Linked DNA regions of Arabidopsis thaliana. The main gene of each other region encodes a partner of the protein of the gene in region 3 in a complex. Each region holds a gene or a part of one and is shown on either strand. Other genes may lie near its edges.

Region 1 (4,342 bases), about 19 Mb from region 3:
TTTTAAAGTACTTTTTAAAATTTAGATTTTGTTTATTCGGATTTTAAAAATCTTTTTTCATGTGTTTATTTTTTAAAATTATATTATTTAATGGATACTAAATTTATATAATGATATGAAATCTAACCGGATTTTGGATCCAGCAATAGTCGTTAGCGATTCCAAACATTCAACTTGTTTTTCCTATTATTATGTAGATTAAACATTCAAGGTTTTACTTCGCATTTTTTAAAATAGTTTTAATATTATTTTTTTGGATGCTAAATTTACATAATGATATGAATACTAACCGGATTTTGGATCCAACATTAGTCGTTAGCGATTCCAAACATTCAACTTGTTTTCATATTATTATGTAGATTTAACATTCAAGATTTTTATTTGGATTTTTAAAAATAGTTTTTAAAATTTTGATTTTGTTTATTGTCGGATTTTAAAAATCTTTTGTGTTTGTTTGTTTGTTTTTAAATTTATTTGGATGCAAAATTTACATAATGATATGAATACTAACCGGATTTTGGATCTAGCATTAGTCGTTAGCGATTCCAAACATTCAAATTGTATTTCCTATTATTATGTATATTTAACATTCAAATTTTGGATCCAGCATTAAAAATTTCAGTTTTAAGTAATGACTCGATTAAGGCATGAATATTAGATTTTCCTTGCATCTGTGATCTCATTGGGAAGGTTTGTTACCAATTGAAGAGGAAGTTTTTGTTAATGGTGACTACTGTTGCTTATGGCATTTGTATTCATTACATGTCATCTTTTTCATGTTGAAGAAGATATTCAGTAGCAAAAAAAAATAACGAGAAATATTTCAAATTAGAAAGTTTTGTAGCATAACAGAGTTGATAGAAGCGAAAACAAGAATCTGTAAAGCCTCCTCTGGTTTTGGGATGAAGAAACTACAGAAACCTGAGAAGAAAAAACTCTCTGCGCTTGGCGATAATGGAACAGTGGTGGAGCTTCTATTTTTGCAGCTGTATTCTCTTGTCCCTGATAGGCAGATCAAGCGGTTTCTGGGCCTCGTGAGGATGGTCAGGGCCTTTGTACACCTTCAGGTGATTGAACAGAGCTCTCCCAAGCTGCCACAAAATGGTCAGACCAAAGTTAAGAGGGAGTTGGAAAACTAGTAATCAATCAATACCAATATCGCAACAAGTAGTTTCCAAGTTCAATCCATAAGTTTGAAGAAACACGGATTTGCTAAGTGTTAAGACTTAAAGGAGACTAATAAAGAGCTGTGGATTATGTATCTAACCCGTCCCTTTGGAAGCATTCCACGAACAGCATGCTCAACGATTCTTTCAGGAATTCTCTGCTGCAATTGATCAAATGTCTCTACTGTCATACCACCAGGTCGTCCTGAATGCCTCCTGTACAGCTTTTGGTTACGCTTCTTTCCAGATACAGCAACTTTCTCAGCATTCACCTTTAACCAAACAATTGAAAACAGTATTAGAGGTACCAAGTTACAAGCATTGCCCAAACATCTACATAGAGGCTCTACATCTTGCTGCTAATGTGAATCTTACTAAAACCAAATCCCAAGGCTCCTCCTTCAGGAAGAAATTAACTAAAGCAGCACATCAAATTTCTTATTCTCTACAGATAGCTCAAAGAAACTCATACCACAATCACAAAAGCTCCCATGTCGACACTAGGAGTGTAAGAGGCAAGATTCTTCCCACGGATGTGATTAGCAATTGTCGATGCCAATCTACCAAGAATTTTGTCAGTTGCATCAACCACAAACCAGGGCTTGTCCGTGTTCACATGGTCTGAAGCTTTTGGATACCATGTCGTGTTCCAGATGTCCTGTAAACCATAGAATACACTCAATAAAGGTTTCAAGCCAAAGACTTTTAACTTCTCTCCAACCAAACATTAATAATTTCATAAAACGTCCAAGTTAACAAATTCAGAAGAATAAACATCAATTTTCGAAGCCAATTGATGCAGACAACACAGCTAATGAGTCAAAGGCAAAATCCACTACTTAATAAATCGCAATTGGGAGAAGAAAAAAACAAGCCATACTTCAAATTCAAAGCAAGAGCTAAAGTGCGACACTTTATAAATGCGTAGATGCTAAACACAGAGGGAGATAGAAAAATTATCGTTACAGGGCCATTAGCTTCTTCTTCGTCGAACATCCATCGTTGATTCGCCGGAACAAGAGAAGTCGTCGTCGTCGGCTCAGCTTCACACTTCACTTGCAATCCTCTTTTCGAATTCGCATAAATGCCGACTCGTACCGACGGCTTCGAGATAGCCGTTAAAGAGAACCCTAAAAACGGAGACTTTCTCTCACTTCCGGAGGATTTCACGGAAGAAGAAGAGAGTATCACCGTCGAAGACGAGCAAAGAACCGCCATTTTTGTTTTTCTCTCTTCTGCAAATTTCTTCTGCTCTTTCCGATTTCTCGGATAAGATTGGGTTCTCAGTAAATAGTAGTAGTGGCAACACCGTAAATAATCTGATGAATACGACCGAAAAATAAACACAACACGGGTTAAGGATCCGGGTTTTTTTCGGAGCTCCGGATTCAACCCGAAATACTGTTTTTTTTTTCTCAATAGGAGAGAAAGGTCTTCTTCGGAAGCAAGCTAAGTCATGGCAACGATTTCGTCAACTCTACTCTTAAATTCTTCTAGATCAGCTTTACCACTAAGATTCCCAAAATTCTCGGGATTTTCTTCTTCCTCTCCATTCGCTAGATCTTACAGATTTGGACGACGTAATCTGGAACCACTTTCCAACGGAATGCTTTCGTCGGGAAGTAGAGCCGACGGTGCTACGGCGGCGGCTGCATCGATGGAAGGAGTGATGACGGAGGCGATGAAACTGATTCAATCGGCGTCACCAACTTGGAAATCAGCTGTGGCTAACAATTTATTGATTTTTGTTCTCGGTTCACCGCTTCTTGTTACCGGATTGTCCGCTTCTGGGATCGCCGCCGCGTTTTTGCTTGGTACTTTAACTTGGAGAGCTTATGGCTCTGCTGGTTTCCTCTTAGTCGCTGCTTACTTCGTCATAGTAAGTGCATTTGTGATCAACCTGAATGTAATTCGGTAACTGACTCTTAGAACGTAGAAATTCGCTGCTTTGATTTTGATTTCGAGCTGATGAATGAAGAATGTCCTTAGATTTTAGATGTGTTATTGTTTAATTTAGGAATTGTGGACGTGTTAGAGATCCTAAATCACGTTTACAGATTAAGGAGCTACTTTTTCTGATCATGCTCAACATTGAGATACTTAGTCTTTTCTCTGCAATGCTTTAAGTTTTAGATTTCAATATCGTGTTTCACCCCAGAGCTGGAAATAGTAACAGTAAATTTGCAATTGATTCTGGCGCTGAAGTTGGTTTAGATGATTTACAATATCACAGGGAACAGCGGCAACGAAGGTTAAAATGACGCAAAAGGAAGCACAAGGTGTGGCCGAAAAGAGAAAGGGTAGAAGAGGACCACGCAGTGTGATTGGTTCAAGTGCTGCTGGTTGTGTCTGTGCTTTTCTTTCAATATATCAAGTGGGAGGAGCAGCTTTTTCCCAGCTTTTCCGGCTTGGTTTTGTTTCCAGTTTCTGCACTAAAGTATCTGACACTGTCTCGAGCGAGATAGGCAAAGCTTATGGAAAAACAACGTGAGTATGCTACTGTTATCCAGCTATAGCCTCTTCTGTTATGGTCTGTGTCTGTTTTCTGTCTGATGTATGGCATGGACTTGTGGTGTCATGACATGAATCCAATCGACAACTGAAATGATCTTACTAACCATTGCCAATTCGCAGGTATTTAGCTACGACATTTAAGATTGTACCAAGAGGAACAGAGGGAGCTATGAGTCTTGAAGGAACATTGGCTGGACTTTTAGCATCATTTTTTCTTGCATCTGTTGGCTGCTTCCTGGGTCAGGTAATAGTGTTATTTGCTACCAAAATTTCCCTTCACAGCTTCTTTATGCTACTAAAGACTGTTATCATTACACGATTTTTAAACTTCTTTTCCTTTTGATATCTTGAACACAGATAACTCCTCCAGAAGCAGCTGTATGTGTACTAGCTTCCCAGATTGCCAATCTTGGAGAGAGCATAATAGGTGCTTCTTTTCAAGACAAAGAAGGATTCAAATGGGTATGCTCACTTCAATGAACTCTCTTCTTTTTGTTTTATTGATCTCACTCTGTCTACTTGTTGTCAATGCAAGAAGATGATAATCAAATGAATATACCGTCACTTCTTGCAGAAAGACTGATAGATAACTGGCTTGAGTGGAAAACGATTTCCATTCAATACAGAATTTTGAAGTTTTCGTCTTATGAATCCATTCCTTG
Region 2 (3,863 bases), on a different chromosome or scaffold from region 3:
TATTATTCGATTGTTTTCTTTTTTGATATACAAATGTTTTTTTGTTAGACTTAGCATTGTCTCTATCCTAATTTGAATAAGCATATGACTAGTCTTTTGAAAATTTCAGTAAAACGTTTTCCGCAAACTCATCACAAGTTAAGCAGAATCTGAACCGAAATCTAAATGATCAAGTGATATAACATGGAGATTAAATCACTATAAATCGTTATGTAATTTCTTTAAATGATTGCATATTGTGGGATTGAACTTGAAGTTATAGCGATTTTACGCTTTTGGTTCTAATCCAAACCTACTTTGCCACTACACACGGGTTTAATATAGTATTACTTGTGTGTATAATTTTATTTTATTTTGCAAACGAGAAGAAGCCAGAATCAAGTCGTTAACCCATGCCTTTCAATTACCCAATCACCTAAGATTTTTTTTTATATTACTTCCTTTGACAAGTTAATCCACTTCCAAATATACTATAAAGTTGCACATTGACAAGAGGTTTTAGCAGAAGCTAGAAGAAGAAAGGAGAAGAAGAAACAAAGAGAGAAGATGAAGAATGTTATGCTGATTATTGACGAGAGCAACGCAAGTTATGATTTACTCATTTGGGCACTTGAAAACCAAAAAGATACCATTGAGAGCTCCAAAGTTTATATCTTTGCAAAACAGCCACAAAATTCCTTTACTCCTCCTACCGTACTTTCTTCATCAGTCGGCTTTGCTCAAATTTTCTATCCATTTTCACCTAGTAAGTCATTTTATCGACTAATTTGTTGGGAGTTTTCAATAAATATCAAATTTTCTATCCATTTTCACCTAGTACTTTCTTTTGTTGAAAATTGATCAGTTTTTATGTGTGTTTTGCAGATTCAGAACTCATAAGATTGGCTCAAGAAAAGAATATGAAAATTGCTTTGGGTATATTAGAGAAAGCCAAGAAGATATGTTTAAATCATGGGGTAATAATCTATTGACTGAATCATTTAACTTGTTATTAATACAATATCATATATATATTTTTAAATACCAAAGTTTTAAAAGAAAAAAATGAAGTTCTTTTCATGACAACCATTTGTTGCAATATTTTAGTCTCATGATCTCATCATAATCATGTTGAAAACAGATCAAGGCAGAGACATTTACTGATGATGGAGACCCTAAAGATCTAATCCGCAAGATAATTCAAGAACGAAATATCAATTTAATAGTTACGAGCGATCAACAAAGTCTCAAAAAGTAAGAAACATCTTTTAATTTCAAAATATCAGTTAAAAAACTTAGTATTGATGGAAAAGTTGAGATAACAAACATCTTTTAATTAAATGCAGGTGTACACAAAATACAGATTGTTCTCTTCTTGTCGTGAAGAAAAGACTTCGCAAAGATTAAAGATTAAGGAAGTTACAAAATTCACCAATATATATAATTTTCTATGTGGTTAATTGAGATTGTGTAATGATTTGGGGTTGTAGTTTCAGGTGTTGATTTGGGGTTGTAGTTTGAACTTATAATTGTGTTATGTGTATAAATATTTGTGTTTATATATATCAAGTTAGTATAAATACTATAATTTCTTATCGTTTCTTTTATTGGCACTGGTGTCTTGATCATCCCGACTAATTCAGACATGAGCTTATCTGAAAACCCACTTTGGACACAAACGAATTGATACGAACGAGTAACGACTCTTTTATTGAAAACGAAAAGGCCTAAATTTGCTGTGAAAGGCCCAATAAACAATTAAGTGATTATGTAAGACGATGTCGTTTAACTCTTAAGTTTCTCAAGAAAGTTATCTCTCTCTATCTATCTTCCTCAACCTTATCCTTGAAGCTTTGTTTCATCTGTTGTTCCCTGTGACCATGGCTACTCCACTCTCAATCTCATCAAATCCTCTCACCTCCCGCCATTGTTACCGTCTCCACTTATCTTCTACTTCATTCAAGGTAATCTCTCATTCTTCTACAAATGTCAATTTTGAATGAATCCGTAAAATTGGAATTTGAAATGTGTACAGGGAAATGTAAGTGTTTTGGGGGCAAACCCAAGTCAGATTCTATCTCTGAAACTCAACCAAACCCTTAAAACGAGAAACCAACAGCAATTTGCGAGACCCCTTGTTGTGGTTAGCCAAACGGCGGCTACGTCGTCGGCAGTTGTAGCTCCGGAGAGATTCCGTTTGGATAATCTTGGACCACAGCCAGGTTCGAGGAAGAAGCAGAAGAGAAAAGGTAGAGGTATCTCTGCAGGACAAGGAGCAAGTTGTGGTTTTGGTATGAGAGGTCAGAAATCAAGATCGGGTCCTGGGATTATGAGAGGCTTTGAAGGTGGTCAAACTGCTCTTTATCGTCGTCTTCCCAAACTTAGAGGAATCGCTGGAGGTAAAGTTTTGTTTTTGTTTGGTATCCAAGTTTTGTGTAGCCCAAATGTTCGATGAAATGTCTCATCCAAAAGGCTCTGTTTAAATTTGGTGATGCTGCTTTCAGTTTTATTTAGTTAGGGCACATTTGTTTCATAGATTTAATATTGGGTAAGAGAGCCATGAATTGACAACTATGGATCAAGATTGTAGTTAGTGAATAGAGATATTTCATGGTTCGATTTTGCTAATTAGCTCAAACCAATAGAGATATATTTCTGATGCATCGTTGCGTTACTGTGTTCTTTAAACAGGTATGCGTTCAGGATTACCTAAATACTTACCGGTTAATATCAAAGACATAGAAACAGCTGGGTTTCAAGAGGGAGATGAAGTGTCATTGGAGACATTGAAGCAAAAGGGTTTGATTAATCCTTCAGGGAGAGAAAGGAAACTCCCTCTTAAGGTTAGTTTTCCAAACTTGTTGATCCTACTTCTTTCGATTGTGCTTTCGTCTTTTCTTTCTTTATTTAAACGTTTTGATTGGTCTTGGATTTCAGATTCTGGGTACAGGAGAACTAAGCATGAAGCTCACCTTCAAAGCTCGTGCCTTCTCAACACAAGCAAAAGAGAAGCTTGAAGCTTCAGGTTGTACACTCACTGTGTTGCCGGGAAGAAAGAAATGGGTTAAGCCATCTGTTGCAAAGAACCAAGCACGAGCAGATGAATACTTTGCCAAGAAGAGAGCTGCAGCAGCAGAAGCAGCAACTTCAGAGCCAGCAGCCTCTGCTTAAATTACTTCAGTTTCAAGCTCTTTTTAGTGTTGTAAAGCTGCAGAGAAGATAATTGTCTATGACAAATGTTAATTACAATTCCTTTGTCTTTTTGTATGGTGAAGAGATTTACATTTTGTTGTTTGAAGAGTCATTATCAAAAAGATATTTAAACGGTAATGAAATATTGAACATTTTGTTTCCCAATAGTAGAAACTTTTTTCAATCTCCAAAGAAATTTTACATAATAGGGTTTCATAAGTGGGGTTATTACTACAAGGTTTCCCCCATTTTATCATAAACTCCAAAGACCAAATTTCCAAACTGCAGAGCATCACGGTTCTTCTTCTTCATCATCATCATCAATGACAGTTCTTCTTCTAGAACGACGTCTCCGAGTTCCAGACACTTGTTCATCAGAAGATTGATTATTCTCCTCATCTCTAGGTGATGTTCCTGTATTACCTTCATAGCTCTCTCCCCAAAGACTTGCAGGTCTTGAAGATCTTCTTCTCCCACTTGTATGTGTCCTAGCTCTAGATGTACCAGACCAGCTACTACTCCTTGAGCCACTCGATTCTGGTCTAAACACGCGGATGAGAAAGTACACTGTAAGCAAGCGAGTATCAGCAAATAGAAACCCATCATCGTTACTTATTTCATCTCCTCCAAAAGAAGATTGGAGTGTGCTAAGTAAATCCCCTAAATCGCTCTGCCTTTCTAGCCTCCTCCAG
Region 3 (4,530 bases):
TATGTGAATTATGTTATGACCGGAGACTTTCCTTCCTATGAAGAGTTTGATGAGTAGAGGAGTGACACGGATCGAATATTTGATAAATAGCTCATTCATCTAGATAGGTTTAAAACTTTAGACTATTACATTGTAGACAAAAAAAAAAAAAAAAAAAAAAAAGGATACAGAGGCCTTTTATCGGCCCACCTTAAAAAAAGAGAGCTACAGAGGCCTTTTATAGACCCACTTTAAAAAACAAAGATATATGAATTTGAGATAAGAAACCTTATTTCAAACAAGAGAATAGTTTATTTTGTCCCACATCGTTTAGGTAGAGATAGTGATGGTAGTAACATGCCTATAAAAAAGAAAGAGCTAATTACGTAAAAGGCATGATCCTTCAGGCAAGTTAAAGGGGATATGATGAATGGTAAAAACTCGCTTATATTGCGAGAAGAGCGTTCCGCCCAAAGCCTGTTACGACTATTGGGCGCTCTCTTTTTTACACAATCTGATCCCTCCCTAATTTCCAATAAGAAGGAACTTTTCTTTTTTAGTTTTGGTTTCATTTTTCTTAACTAGTTTGTTTTTGGTGCAGTTTTCTTTTTAAGGGGAATATAATTTAGGGTTAGTACTTAAAAGTAATTGTTAGGTTGAAATAAAACTAGTAAATGAAAGTAAAATCCTTCAGGGATTGAACCCCAAACTATATACATCAACTTTCAGCAACCATTAACACTACTTGGAATCTGAACAATTCTTACACACCAGAATTATCCTGGTGGCCAGAAGAGATCTTTAAGTAATTATGGCTTTGAAGTTGAGACTTCGAGTAGTAACAAATTCAATGAAGCAAGTAGTATAGTAGTACATGTGATGAATTCCAAGAACATTGATTTATAAACGAATCAAGGATGCAAGAGAGTTAAAACGCAGAAAAGAGCTCAACGAACCATGTTTCTCATTGTATCTTCTGGTGGAAAAAAAGCACATGAAACAAGATTACAGATAGAGTGAAGAGAGAAACAAACTTCAAGCCCGTTTGCCGCTGCTAGGGTTGGACTTGGGACAGAGGTTCCAACGTCCCTTGGCACGTCGACGCTTTATGGTTGCTCTACCGCTAGTGGTCCTCATCCTTCTACGGAAACCATGAGTCCTAGCTAGAGATTTTCTTGATCTGCTTCTCTTAGTTTGACACAGAGCAGCTTTTCCAGCTCTAACCACAAGGCCTCTGCGTCTCTGGCCATTCAGTCCACTAGTTTGACTGCTGAGATCAAACGCAATGGACAAACCTGAAAAGACAGCAACACCATTTTGATCAATGTGACATTATAGGTTTGATAGTGTATCAAGCTGATAATATTGGAACCGGTAAACTCCTTCCTTTAATTACCCAAAGAACTCACCATACAATACCAAACTCTCAACACACTGCTCAGAATCAAGACCCAGACAAATCCAAAATGACTTTAATGCATTCTCCTAGGTTACCCTTTTAACTCTTGAGCTATAACCATAACGTCTGTTGCTAAATTGGCAAAGCTTATAATTCACTGCTCAAATCTTAGCCTAGCTACAATGGTCGTACAATATACTTTACAAGAAAATTATGATCAAAGGAGGAGGAACAAGTTCATGTGACATATTGAAGCAAATCTATAACCATTGTACCTAAATAATCGACATGAGCTAAAAGATTTTTGTACTAAAAATCAAACAACATTTACTTGCGGCTACAAATACATGAGCTAAGATATCAGAAATTGAGGCTTAAGTTGCAAAATGTTATCTTCACTTGTTGTTATAAACTTAACAAGAAATATCAGAAACAAACAAAATGGCTTCTTTCACTCACACTCCCAAATCGAATTCACCATTGACAACTATGTTTCACAATTCCCAAATTCTTCTAAAAAAGCTTCGAATATATGTGTTTGCAAAGTAAGCTAGAGCCTAACACACGAGAATAGTGATAAATCAACCAAACCCAAAGAACCAGAAAAAAAAATCAAAATTGGGTAAAAGAACTTGATACATTACATCACCAGAAGCTAAACACAAACAATAATTCGAACCAATTTAAGATGTACCAGAAAATGGAGACGCTAGGGAAACAGGCGACGAGAGAAACGAGCAATGAAGCAATTGCGAAGAAGCGGAAGAAGTGAGAGAGGACGAACTCCGTCTACAACCCGTACGCAGAGAAAGCGAAGCAGAAGGAACGCAAATCTTGCCGTTGGAGGCAGCAGGATTCCATAAACGCGACGAAGCCGAAGCTACAACGGAAGTGGATAAGGAAGCCATTCAAGTTCCCACTTCTTATCTCCAAACCCAGTTCCTTTGTTTCTCCGGTCTCCTTTACATAGTGTGGAACCTCTATCGTCTACGGACGATACCACCATAAACTTACGCATAAGAACCAACCATAATAATACACGTATCACGACACTTCAGCCCATAAGACTATAAAAGCCCAATACTGAATTGGACCGGACGGGTAATTAATCAAGTTAAGGCCAGATTTGAACTGGTCTAAAATATCTCATGCTGTTGTTCTGTGATACAATTTTGCTTCATGTAAACTGTTAAAAACAGGCACTCTATATAACAGGTAACGAGAAGAACCACAAAATGTTTGTAATCTAGAGGATATTTTCTACAACTTATCCAACATTCATCAAGGGTTTTTTTTTGGGGGGTAACACAAGTATGCCATGAGTCTCTCTATCTATCTTTTGAACATCTTGGACCACATGTAGAGGATAAAGAAGAGGAGGAGCGCGAAAAGAACTACGTGCATTATGTGGTTGTTACCACTACGGATTATGCTTAGGTTCAGTTTCCTTATGTTGTTCTTCACCCCTGCTTGCGCTCTGATCAATGTCATTTGCTGTCACAAACAAAAACAAAATACCATTGAAGCGTTTTATGTTTCAGACAAGAACAACATTTCGTCTACTTATTTTATTTTGCTTATAACAGCACTAAATGCTTGTTTCTGCAGTCTCACTACCAAATCTAGTTGTTTGTCATTATCTTCTCTAGGATGTTCTTCTAGGTAACAAAAGAAAAAACTAGAACGAACTAAAAGCAATGAACACATTCAACACCAACATTCTCATTGACAAAGTGGCAGGAACTCAATGATAAGCTGTAACCATTTCCTGCTGCATTTCACCAAACTAGGTGAGATTGAAGATATCTAATCCTACCCACCACCAGCGTTCAGACCAGATCCTAAGTAAACATAATCTACACTTTGGATTTATCAAGATTCATTGGTTTTGTAAGCTACGGTTAAAGTTATCTAACATATGTTAGGATGAAACTATATTTTCCCAACTAATAATGAACAGAGACATCTGAAACAAGTTATAGGAAACCGATATTCGGATATACTATATATAATCAGTGATTCATCTTAAAGGTAAAGAAGAGTAAATGAATGCATGTTACTGATGTTAAGTGCTTACATTGCAATTTACTATGATGGATAAAGAAAAAACTAAAGGGACATCAACAACATACCAGTTCATCTAAGAAGTCCCTCTGAGACTTTGCTTCTGACCCAATTTCTTGAGCAATCTGCATCAAAATAAGCGATCAACGATATAACAAAAAATCATGAGGGATAAATAATGCGCAAAAGTGCAAGGTAAAACACAAGGAATTGTAGAGAATGTCGACTGATTCCTTCAAGAAGGGTGGTGATATAAAACAATAACCACAGATGTATACAAAAGACATCAGACAAGTGGATTCAACTAATTAATCGTGGACTGACTGATAAGTATTGTGAACAATAACATTATCATAGTACCCTGAACAAAAAAACACCTACACAACTAATTAACCAAGCTCTAACCACTGTCAAAACCGAAAAGAAGACAAATTTCCAAATTCATATGATCAACTTAAAGCTTAAAGAGAACAATGATCCTTCAGAACCACAAGAAGACAATACAAATGGCACTATAGATAAAAAGTAGAAAGATCGAAATGGGATTTAGAGGGTTTCTTACATTTTTCAATTGCCTGACTTGGCCATGGAGACCTAGAATCTCATCATCCAGGTCAGAGTGCATAGGATCAATCCTCAGCTGAATTTCCTCTGAACCTGAAGCATTTCTAGTGCTTAGCCCTTCTCTACAAATCACACACCAAAGATAAATACTTGTACTTTACGCAGAATTCACCAAATCTAGGACCCGTTTTCTCTATCCAGAATCGATTTCAGAAAAGGAGAAACTGATAATATTAGAAATATACCTAGATCTATACGGATCAGCTCCGCCGTATAGAGAACCACCCGCACCGCGATTGGACGCCATCGACGCGAAATCTAATGGGTGTAAGAAACCCTAAATTCGAATCTGCTGGGGTTTGAGAAATTAAGTTTTGTATTCTCTCAGAAAATTCGAGATCGAGAAATTGCAACCAAAAGAAGAGAACAAATTTCAGGCAAATCAAAGAGAAAAACGACGACGATTGAAACAAGCTGGGCGGGTGCTCTTCGATTCAATGATAAATGACCGCGAGGGAACACGT

The links. The genes of interacting proteins can lie anywhere in the genome.
Region 1: AT1G29070 (region 3) and emb1473 share a complex: the UniProt entries of both Arabidopsis thaliana proteins name them as parts of the 50S ribosomal subunit.
Region 2: AT1G29070 (region 3) and RPL15 share a complex: the UniProt entries of both Arabidopsis thaliana proteins name them as parts of the 50S ribosomal subunit.

Annotation. Positions count from the first base shown.
Region 1 is NC_003070.9:29,574,039-29,578,380, reverse strand, and holds emb1473 (Ribosomal protein L13 family protein), read right to left. Parts: upstream 2,576-4,342; 5' UTR 2,385-2,575; coding exon 2,133-2,384; intron 1,825-2,132; coding exon 1,639-1,824; intron 1,439-1,638; coding exon 1,268-1,438; intron 1,092-1,267; coding exon 975-1,091; 3' UTR 501-974; downstream 1-500. Other genes in the region: AT1G78620 (integral membrane protein (Protein of unknown function DUF92, transmembrane)), read left to right, coding at 2,623-3,072, 3,400-3,653, 3,801-3,924, 4,038-4,142.
Region 2 is NC_003074.8:9,490,555-9,494,417, reverse strand, and holds RPL15 (ribosomal protein L15), read left to right. Parts: upstream 1-1,762; 5' UTR 1,763-1,859; coding exon 1,860-1,943; intron 1,944-2,014; coding exon 2,015-2,378; intron 2,379-2,670; coding exon 2,671-2,822; intron 2,823-2,916; coding exon 2,917-3,150; 3' UTR 3,151-3,363; downstream 3,364-3,863. Other genes in the region: AT3G25930 (Adenine nucleotide alpha hydrolases-like superfamily protein), read left to right, coding at 547-745, 865-956, 1,121-1,233, 1,326-1,386; AT3G25910 (MAP kinase kinase kinase, putative (DUF1644)), read right to left, coding at 3,464-3,863.
Region 3 is NC_003070.9:10,147,640-10,152,169, reverse strand, and holds AT1G29070 (Ribosomal protein L34), read right to left. Parts: upstream 2,380-4,530; 5' UTR 2,287-2,379; coding exon 2,073-2,286; intron 1,275-2,072; coding exon 1,015-1,274; 3' UTR 763-1,014; downstream 1-762. Other genes in the region: AT1G29060 (Target SNARE coiled-coil domain protein), read right to left, coding at 2,711-2,872, 3,511-3,567, 4,005-4,128, 4,252-4,313. UniProt on the Arabidopsis thaliana protein: This protein binds directly to 23S ribosomal RNA.